2 linked regions of the Anolis sagrei genome follow. The protein of the gene in region 1 interacts with the protein of each later gene in a pairwise test. Links are inferred from orthologs where the notes say so. Each region holds a gene or a part of one and is shown in the gene's direction. Other genes may lie near its edges.

The links.
Region 2: the proteins of MCM10 (region 1) and CEP72 interact in a two-hybrid assay, tested with the Homo sapiens proteins (2 studies listed by BioGRID and IntAct). The two-hybrid records come from large-scale screens. The link is inferred for Anolis sagrei from reciprocal best matches to the Homo sapiens genes MCM10 and CEP72.

Annotation. Positions count from the first base shown.
Region 1 is NC_090025.1:92,656,719-92,666,328, forward strand, and holds the start of MCM10 (protein MCM10 homolog), read left to right. Parts: upstream 1-5,382; 5' UTR 5,383-5,461; intron 5,462-7,051; 5' UTR 7,052-7,216; coding exon 7,217-7,223; intron 7,224-8,252; coding exon 8,253-8,585; intron 8,586-9,610. UniProt on the Homo sapiens protein: Acts as a replication initiation factor that brings together the MCM2-7 helicase and the DNA polymerase alpha/primase complex in order to initiate DNA replication. Additionally, plays a role in preventing DNA damage during replication.
Region 2 is NC_090026.1:60,067,084-60,076,672, forward strand, and holds the start of CEP72 (centrosomal protein of 72 kDa), read left to right. Parts: upstream 1-5,767; 5' UTR 5,768-5,876; coding exon 5,877-5,958; intron 5,959-9,589. UniProt on the Homo sapiens protein: Involved in the recruitment of key centrosomal proteins to the centrosome.

The DNA of each region.
Region 1 (9,610 bases):
TGATGATGATGATGATGATGATGATGTATTGTCGAAGGCTTTCATGGCCGGAATGACTGGGTTGTTGTAGGTTTTTTGGGGGCTATATGGCCATATTCTAAAGGCATTTTCTCCTGACATTTCGCCTGCATCTATGGCAAGCATCCTCAGAGGTAGTGAGGTCTGTTGGAACTAGGAAAAAGGGTTTATTTATTTATTTATTTATTACAGTTACTTTTGCTCCGCCCTTCTCAACCTCCTAGGGGGGACTCAAGGTGGCTTGCAAAAAAGGCACTATTCGATGCCTACATAGAGTACATATATACATAGAGTACATAGAGTTTATATATCTGTGGAATAACCAGGGTCGGACAAAGGACTCTGATGAGGAAACACAACATACAAACTATCTGCAGACCCACCAAGAAAATCCAACAAATGCTATGTTCAGCAAAGGACAAGAGGGATCCTCTCGCTTCTGCAGGAGTCTACCATGTACCGTGGAGCTGTGGACAGGTCTACATAGGGACCACCAAAAGCAGCATTGCCCAAACACGAATCAAGGAACATGAAAGGCACTGCAGACTACTTCCACCAGAGAAATCAGCCATAGCAGAGCACCTTGTGAACCAACCTGCACAGCATATTATTTGAGAACACAGAAATGCTGGACCACACCAACAACCACCATGTCAGACTACACAGAGAAGCCATTGAAATCCACAAGCATAAAATATATGTGTGTGCAGGGCCGTAGCCAGAAAAAAATTTCAGGGAGGGTTGAAAATTTCAGGGAGGGGTTGAACATTTCAGGAGGGGGGTAGGAAATTGGGGGGGGGGGTTGAAACCTGCCTCCTAGCTCACACTGAAGCAAAGATCAAAGCAGGGGCAGAGCAGCCTTCAATAGCCTGCAGCTCCGCCCTTGTCAACCACCTCCACCAAGTCTGGCCTCCTTAACGAGAGCATTCAACACCCCCCACCCCCAACTTGGTTGCTTCGCTACATCGGCTATTGCTGCAAGTAATGACTGTGTGAATAAATTGTCAATATTTGCTTGAGATAGTGCTTGCAGTTCTGGAGGGACTTTTAATTTTTTGCATCTCATAGACTTAGCATGGGAATTTGGTTAGCCATGAGTTAAAATTCATGAGGAAACCAGGTTTATTTTTTTAACCTGTAAAATTTCGGGTTAAATTTCGGCTACAGATGCTTGAGGTTAAGATTGATTTAAAGCCAGAACTTTTTTTTATTAGGAATTATAGAGGAAGACCTGGAAATAAATAAAGAAAAACTCCTAATTTACTTAATAACTGCAGTCAGAATCTGCTACATTATTTATTTGTCGTGTCAGGGCAACCAGTCAATTGTATTACATTTCTAACAGGACAAAACAGACATGCAGACAAAATACAAAGTTTGTGAGTTTGGTAGTTGATTAAATGTCCTTTGACCAGTATCTGGCCACTTGGAGTGCTTCTGGTGTTGCTGCAAGAAGGTCCTCCATTGTGCATATAGCAGGGCTCAGGTTGCATTGCAGCAGGTAGTCAGTGGTTTGCTCTCCTCCACACTAGCATGTCGTGGATTCCACTTTGTAGCCCCATTTCTTAAGGTTGGCTCTGCATCTTGTGGTGCCAGAGCGCAGTCTGTTCAGCGCCCTCCAAGTCGCCCAGTCTTCTGTGTGCCCAGGGGGAAGTCTCTCATTTAGTATCAGCCATTGGTTGAGTTTCTGGGTTTGAGCCTGCCACTTTTGGACTCTCACTTGCTGAGGTGTTCCAGCGAGTATCTCCATAGATCTTAGAAAACTATTTCTAGATTTAAGTCGTTGACGTGCTGGCTGATACCGAAACGGGATGAGCTGGAGATGTCTCTGCCTTGGTCCTTTCACTATTGGCTGCTACTTCCCGGCAGGTGTCAGGTGGTGCAATACCGGCTAAGCAGTGTAATTTCTCCAGTGGTGTAGGGCGCAGACACCCTGTGATAATGCGGCATGTCTGCTACATGAGGCATTGGAGAACCAAGGAGATCCCCACACAAGAACAATGGCTTCTCAAGATAATACATATTATGAATATGGATAGACTAACACAGTTGTTGAAGGCGAACCAAACGATGAAGATAATACAAACAGATTGGTCCCCGGTAAGGAACTACTTAATCCAAAAAAACTATAAATGGATAATAAATACAGAATGATAACTTTAAAAAAATGATTAGAAAATTGGATCAGATGCAAAAGGGCTAGCCACTTATCTGGAAAATTGACTTATGAGACTCTGAAGCCAAAGATGGAGAGGACTGGAAGCCAGCAGCTTTCTCTACCATCCCTCCACTTCCCCATTTCCCACCCCCCTCCTACCTCCCCTATACCCATTTCCAGGCTGATGTGGCCTCCAAGAAAATGAGTTTTGACACATAAGATGCAGTTCTCCGAAGCGGTTTTCCCAAAGCAATCTATCTATCTATCTATCTATCTATCTATCTATCTATCTATCTATCTATCTATATGCTCTGTGCATAATGAGTACCTTAAAAACAAAAGAACCAATGAACAAAATCACACCAAATTTGGCAACAAAACGTCTCACAACACAAGGAGTGACCATCACGCAAAAAATTATGATTTTGTCATTTGGGAGTTGTAGTTGCTGGGATTTATAGTTCACCTATAATCAAAGAGCATTCTGGACTCCACCAATGATGGAATTGAACCAAACTTGACACACAGAACTCCCCTGACCAACAGAAAACACTAGAAGGGTTTGGTGGGCATTAACCTTGAGTTTTGGAGTTTTGGTTCACCTACATCTAGTGAGCATTGTGGGCTCAAACAATGATGGATCTGGACCAAACTTGGCACGAATACTCAATATGCCCAAATATAAACACAGATGGAGTTTGGGGAAAATAGACCTTGAAATTTGGGAGTTGTAGTTACTGGGATTTATAGTTCACCTACAATCAAGGAGCATTCTGAACCCCACTAATGACAGAATTGGGGCAAACTTCCCACACAGAACCCTCATGACCAACAGAAAATACTGTTTTCTTGTGGTCTTCTGACACCTCCTTGCAACCCCCCCCCCCCCCCAGGGGTCCCAAACCCCAGGTTGAGAAATGCTGCCTTAAAGCCATCCAGTCCAACTCCCTTCACCAGGGCAAGAAAACATAATCAAGCCCTCCTGACAAAGGGCCATCCTGCCATTCACACACACACACATATATCTTCAAGAAGGGAAAAAAGGATGACCCAAACAACTACCGTCCGGTCAGCCTCACGTCAATACCAGGCAAAATTCTGGAAAAGATTGTTAAGGAAGCGGTCTGCAAACACTTAGAAACAAATGCAGCCATCGCTAATAGCCAACATGGATTTATCAAAAACAAGTCATGCCAGACTAATCTGATCTCTTTCTTCGATAGAGCTACAAGCTGGGCAGATGCGGGGAATACCGTGGATGTAGCGTACCTGGATTTCAGTAAGGCCTTCGACAAGGTCCCCCATGACCTTCTGGCAAGGAAACTAGTCCAATGTGGGCTAGGCAAAACTACGGTGAGGTGGATCTGTAATTGGTTAAGTGGACGAACACAGAGAGTGCTCACGAATGTTTCCTCTTCATCTTGGAAAGAAGTGACAAGTGGAGTGCCGCAGGGTTCCGTCCTGGGCCCGGTCCTGTTCAACATCTTTATTAATGACTTAGATGAAGGGCTAGAAGGCATGATCATCAAGTTTGCAGACGACACCAAATTGGGAGGGATAGCCAATAGTCCAGAGGACAGGAGCAGAATTCAAAATGATCTTGACAGATTAGAGAGATGGGCCAAAACTAACAAAATGAAGTTCAACAGTGACAAATGCAAGATACTCCACTTTGGCAGAAAAAATGAAATGCAAAGATACAGAGCGGAGTGCCGCAGGGTTCCGTCCTGGGCCCGGTCCTGTTCAACATCTTTATTAATGACTTAGACGAAGGGCTAGAAGGCAGGATCATCAAGTTTGCAGACGACACCAAATTGGGGGGGGGGGGGGGGATAGCCAATACTCCAGAGGACAGGAGCAGGACTCAAAACGATCTTGATAGATTAGAGAGATGGGCCAAAACTAACAAGATGAAGTTCAACAGGGACAAATGCAAGATACTCCACTTTGGCAGGAAAAACGAAATGCAAAGATAAAAAATGGGGGATGCCTCACTCGAGAGCAGTACGTGTGAAAAAGATCTTGGAGTCCTCGTGGACAACAAGTTAAACATGAGCCAACAATGTGATGTGGCGGCAAAAAAAGCCAATGGGATTTTGGCCTGCATCAATAGGAGCATAGTGTCTAGATCTAGGGAAGTCATGCTACCCCTCTATTCTGTCTTGGTTAGACCACATCTGGAATATTGTGTCCAATTCTGGGCACCACAATTGAAGAGAGATATTGACAAGCTGGAATGTGTCCAGAGGAGGGCGACTAAAATGCTCAAGGGTCTGGAGAACAAGCCCTATGAGGAGCGGCTTAGGGAACTGGGCATGTTTAGCCTGAAGAAGAGAAGGCTGAGAGGAGATATGATAGCCATTATGTGAGAGGAAGCCACAGGGAGGAGGGAGCAAGCTTGTTTTCTGCTTCCTTGGAGACTAGGACACGGAACAATGGCTTCAAACTACAAGAGAGGAGATTCCATCTGAACATGAGGAAGAACTTCCTGACTGTGAGAGCCGTTCAGCAGTGGAACTCTCTGCCCCGGAGTGTGGTGGAGGCTCCTTTTTTGGAAGCTTTTAAACAGAGTCTGGATGGCCATCTGTCAGGGGTGATTTGAATGCAATATTCCTGCTTCTTGGCAGGGGGTTGGACTGGATGGCCCATGACATCTCTCCCAACTCTTTGATTCTATGTGTAGGACAGATGCAGTATCAAAGATTTGAAAGGGAAGGACGATATGTTCCATGTTCCAGAGTAGGCAAACCAGATATCAACACTGGCAAAGAAAGAGCAAGAAATACTGTTTACCCACAAGCATAAAGACATCACATATATTAGAAACCAACACTTTCTCATTACTTTATTTCCCAGATCACCAAATTGGGCCATAGCAACGCATTACAGGGGATTGCTAGTGCTTCATATTTTCTCGCATGTTTTGAGGTTTAATTCCATTCTGAGGCTGATCTCCCATCCAAGTACCATCTAGGACAGACCCAGCTTAACTAAGCTAAGAGGGGATCTCTTGCTAATCAGCAAAAGGGGCATCTCCTTTAAGATCCGCATACACGCCTAGCTCTACTGTCCTGCAAAATGAATCAAGGAAGACCTTCCGAGCATGCGCATTGTGCACCCCGCCCTTCATTCCAGAGACAGAGACGGGCGAGCTGGCGACGCTTCAGCTTCCGGGTTGAATCGGATGGGCGGTGATGGGGGCGGGGCTACGGAGGGTTGGAATTTTGGCGGGTGATTGGGAGGAAGCGAGCAGATGGCGCCAAAGGAGGAGAGAGGAGGAGGAAGGTAAGAAGGCCTGGATAGAAAGGAAGGAAGGAAGGAAGGAAGGAAGGGAGGGAGGGAGGGAGGAAGGAAGGAAGGAAGGAAGGAAGGGAGAAAGGGAGAAAGGGAGAAAGGGAGAAAGAAAGAAAGGATCCCCATTACAGGATTGGAAAAGGATATCATCTGGGTTGCTCCAAAAAGGTGGGGTTCGGTTCTGGGGCTCTGATTTTGGGAGGAAAAAGGGACCACCAAAAAAAGAGGGAGAGACCAAATAATAACAACATTAATCATGATGATCCCCATAATTGTGTAATTAGTTATTTATTCCTTAATAAGTATTCATTATGGATATTGTGTAGATGTGTGTTCTTGTCTATATGCATATTTGTGTTTATATGTGTGTATATGTATGTGTGCATGTGTATATTTGTGTGTGTGTGTGTATATTTGTATGTGTTTGGGTATATATATATAGTAGTAGTAATTTTTATTGATTAGCCCTTAGGCCATATCACAATAAGAAACAGAACAACAAGGCCTGACAAGACCTTATCACACTCCACATAATAAGTTAAAATAAGACACTTATAACAATACAGTAAATAAATATGATAAAACTGATAAACTGATCAATAGGGCTCTACAGGCCAATGGATACTCCACCTCAAACATTCTGGGTTTGAGACTGCCACTTTTGGACTCTCGCTTGCTGAGGTGTTCCAGCGAGGGTCTCTGTAGATCTTAGAAAACTATTACTCCAATCAGCCCTACATATGTGGTTCTCAGACGTATTGTTTTGCTTAAGTACAGAGCTGTTTTATATTATTTTTGGGTCTTGGCCACACATAAAATATGTTGTTCTGATGTGGGATTCCCAATACATTGTCCGTTTGATATATGGACCAAGGTGGAAGTCTCTCACCTTTTGATACAATTTGCAATCAAACAATATGTGTGCTATATCCTCAATTTCAGGTGCCCCGCAGATACAACTCCGTTCATTATAAGGGATGCTGTTAAATCTCCCGTATCTAACCATTGTCTCGAGCTGATCAAATCTGGCTCGAGTGAATACCTCCCTAAGATGTTTTGGTATTTGCATTTTTAGGTAGTTAGCAATTTGAAAGGTACGTTTATATTGACAGCCATTTTAGGTTAGCAGTCTTATTGAGGGTGGCTATATCTTTTTGTGCTTCTATATCCAAAATTCGTTGTATGGCACCCTTTCTTGGATTACACAACTGACAAATTATATAAGAAGTTGTGGGCTTCCTGTCTCCTGCGCCTCAAATGACAAAGTAAGAAAGGGTATATATATGTGTGTATGCGTATGTATGAGTGTGTGTATGGTGTATTTTAGGGGGTTTTTTAGTCCGTTCTGCTGTGGATATTTTAAAAAATATATATTTTAGGGGTGTTGAACACTCGTTGGACTGTTAGGTGTATTGTGTCAAAATTTGGTGTCAATTCGTCCAGTGGTTTCTGAGTTATGTTAATCCCACAAACGAACATTACAGTTTTATTTATGTAGATGTATAATTAACATTTAATAAATATTATTATGATAATAGAAATAATATTTTGCTGTTATTACTTTCATATTCATTTTCTCAGGATTGAGGCCCGAAACAGCTTGCAACTTTAAAAAGTAATACGATTAAAAATACACAGACCTTGGAGTTTGTACCAGTTTCCCAATTTTGGGCGTGAACTCATAACAAAAGACTCTCTAGAAGTCAACAATTCTTTTGTGAAGTGTCTGCTGGTGCAGCTCATGACATGGATGGTAAGTTCTGTACGTATTGTTTAAAACATATTAATTATCCTGTTACCTTTAACACTGTGCTTTTCAGGTACTATGCAAACTTATTTTCTGCTCCTGGAGCCAACAGAAGCAGAGATGGTTTTCAGATTTAGTGTAATAGAATCTAGAATTGGAAGAGTCCACATGGACTATCTAGTCCAACCCCCTGCCATGCAGGAAAAGCACAATCGAAGCACCCCCTACAGATGGCCATCTAGCCTCCATTCAAAAACTTCCAGGGAGCATTAATCACTATAGAAGTGGAGTGTTGTTCAGGTGGAGTTACTGTTATAACTTGGATAATTTGTACAATTTGTTAATTGAATTGCAGTATTTACCATTAAAAATGATAAGTTTCTAATTAAGAAAATGCAAGCTGTTGACAGTGATGTTTGTGATGAGCCACATAGAGCAGCTAACAGGAATCCAGATCAAGTAAAGATTATATAAAACCTGTGTGTGGGTGTATGTATATATATAGTATGAAACGCTTATAATAAGCAGTCTTATTTTAGATTTTCAGTGGCACCTATCTCATGCCAATAAGAAAAAAAAAAGATGACATTCCAACTGAAATGTCATGCTTTTGTAAAAAGCCAACTGCATAGCCAGCTTCTGCTTATGGTTTAAATCTTTTGAATGCTCCCTTTTCCTCCTGTAATATAAACACATCATGTCTTCCACCAGAGATTTTACATGACATGGAATTTTTGCGAATTATAATCTGGCCCGCCAACAGTTTGAGGGACTGTGACCTGGCCCTCTGTTCAAAAAGTTTGCGGACCCCTGTTTTAAACAGTTCAGATGGGATCCTGTCATCTCCTGCTGCCTTGTTGTTAGCAATGCTTCTTAAGGCCCATTCAACCTCACTCCTCGGGATGTCTAGTTCTAATTCATTCACCATGTTATGGTGAATGTTATGGTACTCTAAATACAGTGTTATGTATTTAGATATCTTGTGTTTGGGTTTGTTATAACATTGATCTGGTTTTTTTTTCCATTTCTTTCCAGACAGTGATAGCTTAGACCTGTTGGCCTCCCTCTTGGAGGAGAATGAGGCCACTGCAGAGCCCGTTTCCGGAGAGAAGAGCACAGATAATGTAGCCGTGGCAAGTGATCCTGATGATTATGACAAGCTCTTTGACGAAGAAGATGAAGAGTCCTACACTGAGGAGGTGGAGGGCAAGGAAGAGGAATCCAGTGGCCATGAGGAAAGTGTGGCTGAGTTGTTTGGAGATGTGGGAGACCTCTCAGAAGAGGAACAGGAGAAGGAAACTGTGCCAGGAACACCTCTTTCCTCAGCTGTTGATCAAGCAAAGGAGGCCACCAATCAAGCCCTGCAAGGTTTCTTGAAATGTTGTTATATTTGTAATGGCTGCTCAAATACAAAGCTTTTATAGTAAGCATAACTAGCATTCCAAACAACAGTAGTGCATGGTTGATCCAGGTATTGCTGCCCTTGCAGTTCTCATGCTTCTTTAATATAATTTGATGCTTTAAACAACTTGTGGTCCATGAGTGGCAAAAAGAGAAAAGAATACCTTATTTTGGGCCTGCCAACTTCTGACCTCCATGAAGCATTCTGTAGTCCCTGACAGAAAGAAAAAAGGTTCCTTGTCCCAGTTTAGGTTAGAAGAAGTGCTGGTCTGAAGCAGTGTAAAAACAGTACAGTATTCCCTCACTTATTGTGGGTGTTACATTCCAGAGCCACCCATTCCAGAACCATTCCAGAACCATCGAGTCCACAGAAAGCGAACCACGAAGTAGCAAGGGAAAACTGTATTATGTGATATTACACTATATAACACAATTTTTGTTCTTGAGTTATAGATGTCCTATCCTAATTGGTTCTATCATAAAAACATGGGGAAAGTTTATTAAACTGCAAAAACTTTGTTTTTGTGGGACATCCTGCAGCACATTTCTCTAAAAGTTTTTCAGTGAACATCTTGCAGAGTCTCAACCAAATCCACATAGTTTGTGGCAGCCACAAAAACGAGGTTTCTGGAGTATAAAAAACTACTTTCGAAGTAAGTCCAGCACAATTAAACAGGAATAATATTTTTAAAACAAAATTTTCAAATTACGAAGTGCACATTAGAGCAAATCGTAGTAAATATTTTTTTTGGAAAGCGTTACAACAGATCTAGAATTTGAATCTTCATGTCTTCAGTTTCTTGCTTCCTTTTTATTTTTGCTAACACAGTATGGTCCTCGAATACACAGAGCTGGTATCAGCAATTTCATTTATCAGTGTCCGACAAAATATCTTCTCTAGGCATGTTCTATGTCCACTACAGAAACTCTATGATAATCTTGGGCTGGACGTCCTTCATTTTGGGTTTGGTTTTATCTGCCATTTTCCTTAT
Region 2 (9,589 bases), on another chromosome or scaffold:
AAAGCTCCTGTTTTTTTAGCAGGTTTCCTATGAGGCGGGTGAGGTGGTAGTCCTTTGTGATATTATACATTTTTCTCAGAAGGAGGCGGTGGTTTATAGTATCATAAGCTGCTGACAGGTCTATGAAGTCAGCACCTGTGATCTGCTGCTTTTCAAAGCCATCTTCTATGTACTGAGTCAGGTTCAGCACTTGCGATGTGCAGCTTTTGCCTTTCCTGAAGCCAGCTTGCTGTGGAATCAGACATGGGTCTATTTTTTCCATAATTCTATGCAAAGTAAGTCTCTCCAGGACTTTGTAAAGGTGGCACAACAGGGAGATTGGATCATTATGGTCTTTGCCTGGCTTCAAGATGGCGATACTCTTGCTTTCCTCCAGATTTTGGGGACCTGACAGGATGCAGTGCAGTTGTTCATGATTCTATGATTCTAGGAGCCTGAAAACGTGGCTGTTCCAGTATGCCTTCACTGAATAAAGGAAACAATGCCCTGTTCTGACCAATTCCCTGCAAAATGTCCTCAGAAGCACTTTATCTACCTGTTGGGTTGATCATAGAATCATAGAATCAAAGAGTTGGAAGAGACCTCATGGGCCATCCAGTCCAACCCCCTGCCAAGAAGCAGGGATATTGCATTCAAATCACCCCTCACAGATGGCCATCCAGCCTCTGTATAAAAGCTTCCAAAGAAGGAGCCTCCACCACGCTGAAAGCTCCACTGCTGAATGGCTCTCACAGTCAGGAAGTCCTTCCTTATGTTCAGATGGAATCTCCTTTCTTGTAGTTTGAAGCCATTGTTCCTTGTCCTAATCTCCATGGAAGCAGTAAACAAGCTTGCTCCCTCCTCCCTGTGGATTCCTCTCACATATTTATACATGGCTATTGTTCTGGTACAGCTGTACTAGGAGCTCCAACTTTATTTGCTTTGTATTAAATGTTTGATTGCAGTCCTAGGTTTCAGGGACTCTGCAGATAGGTGGCTTGTTTTGGTTGCAGTCATAGGGCAAGTCACCTGTCCATAATCGTTAAGTTTTGGTCCCGTCCCTTGCTCAGGGCAATTGGGAAGGGAAGGGAGCCATTTTTAGTTGGTCTCAGCAAGGTTAACTTATGTATAGGATGTGTGCAAGCTTCCCCTGTACAAAAGCTTCAACCTTTAAGAATTTCCAGGGAAACAGCCCTAAAGACCAAAGAACTCCAGCTGGAGAACATTTCCTGCCTTACTGGTAGGTCCACTTGGCGTTCGAGACGCAGTTCGACCCGGTAGCGGAGCCCACGTCAGTAAGGGTTAGATTACAGTCAGCCTGGGAGAAGTTAAAAAGGGGATTTTCCTTTAAAGAAGAAGTTATTGAAGACAGTTGCCTGTCCTTTGTGGGCAAGATTAGGAATTCACCAGTTGCCTAAAAGCTTGGAATCATTTGCTTAATTTTACTGAAGACAAGAGAAGTTTCTGTTTGATTGTTCATTAATAAAGGACTTTGTTGTACTTCACAAGCCATCTAAAGACTATTTGTGGTGAAACCCTCTGAGAACTTCTCTTTGGGCCCCCTGGCTTCCCGCTGGGCAAAGGTTGCAGATCCTATTCTAAAGACAATTATTTACAGGGCCAGCGCATGACCGAACAGTTATCATATCTCCTCTCATCCTTTTCTTCTTCAGTCTAAACATGCCCAGCTCCTTAAGCCGCTCCTCATACATTACTCTTTAAAAGCCACCTTCTTAGATATATCCGACCTCTGTTCATGTCCAGTGTTTGTTTTTTAAATTTTTAATCTATTACATCTGGCCTGCCCATAGTGTTTTAAATTTTTGTGTGTTACTGCTTACATGTTAGTTATACAGGGTTAGTCAAAATGCATAGGCCAATAAGCTATTCAATTGAATGGCTTATTGGCCTATGCATTTTGACTAACCCTGTATTATTTGTACTGTTTTATTTGCTTGTTGCTTTGTTGTTTTACTGATGTGTTGTTGGGCTTGGCCTCATGTAAGCCGCCCTGGGTCCCCTTGGGGAGATGGTGGCGGGGTATAAATAAAGTATTATTATTATTATTATTATCATTATTATTATTATATCTTATATGAATTTGGATACTGAGGCATAGCATCAGAACTGAGCCTCTCTCAGAGGAAATAGCCTATGTGCCAAAAGAGTGGAAAAGAGTATCTGGCTATGCTGGTGCTAAAATGAAAAGTCCTCAAGGTCTAATTTGAGCACAAGGGCAATTAGTTCCATGTTCCAAAGTAATCAAATAATCAATATGTACTTTTAAAGCAATTAAACCCTGATGAAAAACAAGGCTTTCAAAATAATAAAGGAGGAAAGAACTGACTTTGATATGGAGATAGAAAGGTTACAATGTGCTGGGCCTATCATATCTTGTCACATGGTACCACTATTACACAGGGAAAATGTGGTCCACTAAAATTTAATTATTTGCCTTGTTGGCATACCTGTTTCTGTAAAACCGTATTACCAGTCTATGAATGCTATTATTATGTTCAAATTAAATATAAGGAAGATATTTCTAAAACTTGGCAGAACATACACATACTTCCTCAGCTTATGATACTTCACACAAGATTCGTTCTTTCAAAACTTGACTTAATCTAAAACTATGATAGCTCTGTAATATCGCCAAAAGTTAAGCCTGATGAATCAGGCTTAACTATTAAGTCCAAGGACAAGCATTTTGTATATTTTTAAAAATGTTTGCCATTAGTGCACATTTTTGAAGTACAGTTATTAGCTTTTTGCACTTTATAGGCAGTATAACATTTTCTGTTTGTTAAAGTGTTGGTATTAATGTGAACAGTATTGGTTCACATATCACAATTCATTTTGGGGTGGCTTTGGACATATCAACACTGACTATTTAATACAGCTTTGGGATCAGTTTCAAAGTGCAGCATCTATACAATGCATGCTGAGAAAACACTGTAATGTGCTTCAAGCACTTTAAACTGATATAATTAAAGTCAGGGAATAATCTAAAACAGAGCCCCTAATATTTATATATAGTGCACTCTACTATAAACCACAGAGCCCCCGGTGGCGCAGTGGGTTAAAGCACTGAGCTGCTGAGCTTGTTGATCGAAAGGTCGCAGGTTCGATTCCGGGGAGCGGCGTGAGCTTCCGCTGTCAGCCCTAGCTTCTGCCAACCTAGCAGTTTGAAAACATGCAAATGTGAGTAGATCAATAGGTACCGCTCCGGTGGGAAGGTAACGGCGCTCCATGCAGTGCAAGGCCACATGACCTTGGAGGTGTCTACGGACAACGGTGGCTCTTCGGCTTAGAAATGGAGATGAGCACCACACCCCAGAGTCAGACATGACTGGACTTAATGTCAGGGGACAACCTTTACCTTTACCTACTATAAACCACATTACACAACATGTACTCCACTGATCAATATATGTGTATTCTGACAAAATGAGGTTTAAAAAACCCTGCATTGTTGGTGATTGTCAAATTCCAGATTCTGGAACTGGTTCGAGGTCCGCCTCTGTAGTGCATGTGAGCGTCATCCAGACCTCAAGCCAGTTTCGGGATTACTAGTTATTTATTTATTTCCAGTATTTTCTGCCCCGTCCTTCTCACCCCCCAAAGGGGAACTCAGGAAGGCACAATTTGATGCCATTAAATGTAATAAAGCAATATAACAACAATTACTAACCAAATTGTTCACACATTGAAATCACACTTTCTTTTATGCTGGCTCGAAGCTGACCCCAGTGGTCAGTGTAGATGTGCCCTCCAAGGTAATTTACTCAGCCCCAGCCCTAAACTTTAGACTAAGTCTGAAATGACTTGAAGGGACACAATAACAATCCTAATTAACTTGACAATCTCATCATCCAAAAGCAGGCCCACACTTCCCATTGAAATACTGGTAAGTTTATGTTGGTTAAAATTACTCTTCATTTTAAACACTGTATTGTTCTTTCATGGTTTTTTCACTACAAATAAGATATATACATAAGAATTTGTTCATGTTTTTCCTCAAACTGCCCCCCCCCCAATAGTCGAGGGACTGTGAATGGCCCTCTGCTTTAAAAGTTTCATTTCCTCTAAATTTTACTTTCTTTCCTTCAAAAATGGATGTTTAATTGGTAACACTGTTACTTCCTGGAAAGAAGTAACGAACGGAGTGCCGCAGGGCCCGGTCCTGTTCAACATCTTTATTAATGACTTAGATGAAGGGTTAGAAGGCATGATCATCAAGTTTGCAGATGACACCAATTTGGGAGAGATAGCCAATACTCGAAGACCGGAGTAGAATTCAAAACGATCTTAACAGATAAGAGAGATGGGCCAAAACTAACAAAATGAAGTTCAGTGGTGACAAATGCAAGATACTCCACAGGCAGAAAAAAATGAAATGCAAAGATACAGAATGGGGGACTCATGGCTCGAGAACAGTACGTGTGAAAAAGATCTTGGAGTCCTCGTGGACAACAAATTTAAACATGAGCCAACAATGTCATGCGGCGGCAAAAAAAAAAAAAGCCTTGGTTATACCACATCTGGAATACTGTGTCCAATTCACGGCACTACAATTTAAGGGAGATGTTGACAAGCTGGAATGTGTCCAGAGGAGGACGACTAAAGGGCTTGGTCTGGAGAACAAGCCCTATGAGGAGTGGTTTCAAAAGCTGGGCATGTTTGGCCTGAAGAAGATTGAGGGAAGACATGATAGCCAGGTATAAATATGTGAGAGGAAGTCATAGGGAGGAGGGAGCAAGCTTGTTTTCTGCTGCTGTGGAGACTAGGATGCGGAACAATGGCTTCAAACTATAAGAAAGGAAATTCCATCTGAACATTAGGAAGACCTTCCTGACTGTGAGAGCCATTCAGCAGTGGAACTCTCTGCCCCGGAGTGTGATGGAGGCTCATTCTTTGGAAGCTTTTAAGCAGAGACTGGATGGCCATCTGTCGGGAGTGCTTTGAATGCAATTTTCCTGCTTCTTGGCAGGGGGTTGGACTCTATGATTCTATGAAAAAGTGATGCCTTCTGCAGCATCCCTTGTTTGGATATCAGCCAGCACGTCAACGACTTAAATCAAGAAATAGTTTTCTAAGATCTACAGAGACACCTCAGCAAGCGAGTCCAAAAGTGGCAGGCTCAAACCCAGAACCTCAACCAATGTCTGATACCAAATGAGAGACTCCCCCCTGGGCACCTGAGATCAGATCCTGGAATATCGGGCCTGTCTGGAAGGGCCCTGAGTCCACACCCAACATTTAATCCAGTTCAATGTGGATTTTATAGAGCTGTGTGGAAGGGGCTTTTGTAACTATGGGCCAGAGTTGCTGTTTTTAGAAGAAGCAAGCCTGCACCGATACTAATATTGCACAAAAATATACATGACAGCCTTATAGGTAACACAGGCTAATTCATACTGACACTACTTTTCCCCTCTTCCTGTTTTTTGTTCGCTTTTGTATTCGTTCTCGCTGACTTCTCATAAGACTGCTATACAACCGGAAGCTGACATCAGTTGCCTGGCAACCGGACGCTCGAGAGCCAGCGTCAACTGTGGATGGCACATCTCCTCGGCCTCTGATTGGCTCCTCCGCCTGCGAGATGAGCGCGAGCTCAGCCGCGCGCTCCCCGTCTCCTAGCTCGAGGGGCGCCGCGTCCAACGGCGCTTTCTTCTCGAGGAGAGCGCATGCGCACTATTTGAAAATGATGGCCGCGGACGGGGCGCCGCTGACGGAGGAAGATGTTCGAGACAGGGTCAATCTGAGGCACCAGAATCTCGGTGACCGGCTGGTTTCTGGAGAGGGAGGCGGGCATGTACCCTCGAGGCTTAGTCAAGACTCCATAGCGGGGAGGGGGTGGCTTTTGAGGACGGCTAACAGTAGAGTAATGGTTGTTTATGGAAGGATACTTGGTCATAAAGGCATTGCTATCAGTGGAAGGCATTCCCCATCGAGATGACCCTGCTGTTTGTATTGTGTGTATGTACTTGCCTTCCTATTCTGACCATAACTTTTTCTTGTTCACACACACACACATACATATATATACATACATACAGTGTGAAGCAGCATAACCTCCCTTTTTCAAAACTTAATAAAACCCATTGTATGAATCAGAAAAAAAATGTAGGCCAAGCAGGGTCACCAAAGACAATCAGAAAACACATATTTCTGATGGTCGTAGGAACACAGTGCTATCCGGAGATAGGTGAACTACATCTCTCCTAAATCACTGCCAATTCCTCCCAAATCCCTGCAGTATTTTCTGTTAGTCATTGGTTCTGTGTGGGAAGTTTGGCCCAATTCTATTGTTGATGGGGTTCAAGTGGCTCTTTGATTGTAGGTGAACTATAAATCCCAGCAACTACAACTCCCAAATGTCAAGGCCTATTTTTTCCAAGCTCCACCAGTGTTCACATTTGGGCATATTGAGTATTTGTGCCAAGTTTGATCCAGATCCATCATTGTTTGAGTCCACAGTACTCTCTGGATGTAGGTGAACTACAACTCCAAAACTCAAAGTAAATGCCCACCAAAACCTTCCAGTATTTTCTGTTGGTGATGGGAGTTCTGTGGGCCAAGTGTGGTTTGATTCCATCATTGGTGGAGTTCAGAATGCTCTTTCATTGCAGGTGAACTATAAATCCCAGCAACTACAGCTTCCAGATGACAAAATCAATTTGCCCTCAATCAATCAATCAATCAATCAATCAATCAAAACTTTATTACAGTCCATGACCAGCACAAAGTGTATATACAAATCCAGATCACAAGATTGGGACCCAGTCCCGTACATTCACATCAAACCCAAAGGGTTATAGACTTCAAACTCCAACAATACAAAATTTGCCCTCAACCTGACCAGTATTCAAATTTGGGCGTATTGGATATTTATGCCAAATTTGGTCCAGTGAATTAAAATAATGTAAATATCAGATATTTACATTACGATTCATAACAGTAGCAAAATTGCAATTATGAAGTAGCAATGAAAATAATTTTATGATTGGAGGTCACCACAACATGAGGAACTGTACTAAGGGGTTGTGGCATTAGGAAGGTTGAGAATCACTGATGTAGGCACATACCTAAAGTTTTGTTTTACGTAGTTTTGAAGATCAAATTAGGTAGGTGACGTCCCTCATTCTCCATACACTGAGTAAACCGATTTCTGGCGTTTGTCATTACTCTTGCCAGCAGGCCCGTAGCCAGGATTTCGTTTCGGGGGGGGGGGGGGGGGGCTAAAAAAATTTTCAGGGGGGGTTTCGGGGGGGGGGCCTGAGTTTCGGGGGGGCTGAGTTTCGGGGGGGGGGCTGAGTCTGAGTGAAAGAGGGTCTAGCCTAGCAAACCTTTTGTATCATTACCCCAATGCCCCCATGCATATGGGATATATTGAGTATGGTGATCAGATCATAGAATCATAGAATCAAAGAGTCGGAAGAGACCTCATGATATGAATAAACATAACAGTTTAAATAATGCACCAGTAAGGCATTTTCGCGAACCACCATGATAATTTCGGGGGGGGGGCTGAAGCCCCCCCGAGCCCCCCCCCCCCCCCCCGCCTACATGCCTGCTTGCCAGCATAGCAGGAGTTATGTTTGAGAGGCGGGAGTATAAAGTTTTGTCCTAACAGTTCAGTTGCCATCATGAGTTGGAACAGATTTGGCCCCTTGTGATTTTTTTCTATGGGGTTTTTGAAATCCCGTGTTTATGTGAACCGTCCAAGGACCCTACAAGATTTGAAGAACAACATCAAGGAAGAAATTGCCAACATAACACCTGCTATGCTGGCAAGAGTCATAACAAACGCCAGAAATCGGTTTACTCAGTGTATGGAGAATGGGGAACATCACCTACCTAATTTGATCTTCAAAACTACATAAAACAAAACTTTAGATATGCGCCTACATTATAAAAAAATAAAAATTTCTGATTCATACAATGGGTTTTATTAAGTTTTGAAAAAAGGAAGTTATGCTGCCTCACTCTGTATGTCTGTTGAAATCTTTAGGTATGCATGCCAGCCACATCTGAGGTCATGGCCCTCTAGGTTGAGTAGATTTTGGTTCTCTAGTGTTATCCAGTTTTTCAACCAGTGTATCCTGCTGCTTCATGGTAATATCTGAAATCTGGTAGGTTCAAACCCCCTCTCTCTTTCCCATCAATTACGTTTCTGTACGCAATCCTGGCTCTTTCCCTGCCCAGAGAAATCTGGTAAGATCCTTTTCCCAATGTGAATATTGTACAGAAATTAAGGAAATTGTGTGCATGGTTAAAGATAAAGATATAGGGTAAATATGTGATCACAGGGAATGGTGATGGGGGGTTGGGATTAGGGGTGTTAACAATACAAAATGTCATCGAAGAGAAGGATGTATGAAAAAGAAGGTGCAGACAAAAGGAATGTTATATAAAATGAAGTGTGTATAAGTATGAGCACCAATTGAAACTAAGCGTGAGCAAGATGTTGTAATGTCGAAACAATAAAAATATTGTGGAGAAGAAAAAGTTCCAGTTCAAAGTAGATAATCTGGATTTTTGATGCAGTGTAAAAGGGGCTCTATACACATTATGAACAGGTATCTACTAAAACTACTCTACGGCTCCTTCCACTCAGCTGTATAGAATCCACATTGAACTGGATTATATGGTGGTGTGGACTCAGCTAATCCAGTTCAAAGCAGATATTGTTGATTATCTACTTTGATATTCTGGGTTATATGGCTGTATGGAAGGGTCCTACGGGCCTCCCTCTATGAGCTCTCTGATTTTAGCTACCTATTTGTTACTCCGTTTAAGCGTCATTTCTTCCCTCTACTTTTAATATCATTTTGTAAATAAAAATTATACTAATTAAAGATTATCCCCATTTTATCTTTAAACAAAGGATAGTAAAAGGATAGTAAATGCAGACTGTGGCCAGGAAATCAGAAGACGCTTACTTCTTGGGAGGAGAGCAATGTCCAATCTCGATAAAATAGTAAAGAGTAGAGACATCAGATTGGCAACAAAGATCCGCCTAGTCAAAGCCATGGTATTCCCTGTTGTCACCTACGGATGTGAGAGCTGGACCTTAGGGAAGGCTGAGCGAAGGAAGATCGATGCTTTTGAGCTGTGGTGTTGGAGGAAAGTTCTGAGAGTGCCTTGGACTGCGAGAAGATCCAACCAGTCCATCCTCCAGGAAATAAAGCCTGACTGCTCACTGGAGGGAAAGATACTAGAGACAAAGTTGAAGTACTTTGGTCACATCATGAGGAGACAGGAAAGCCTAGAGAAGACAATTATGCTGGGGAAAGTGGAAGGCAAAAGGAAGAGGGGCCGACCAAGGACAAGATGGATGGATGGCATCCTTGAAGTGACTGGACTGACCTTGAGGGAGCTGGGGGTGGTAACGGCCGACAGGGAGCTCTGGCGTGGGCTGGTCCATGAGGTCACGAAGAGTCGGAGACAACTGAACGAATGAACAACAACAACAGTAAATGTATCCAAGTCTTACCTTCAATCAAATATTTCTTCTTGATCAGCATTGTCAAATTGTCCATCTCAGCTTATTTACATGTCTTCGTGTTTTCCTTGCGTCATGATGTCTGATTCTTTATGTGTCTAG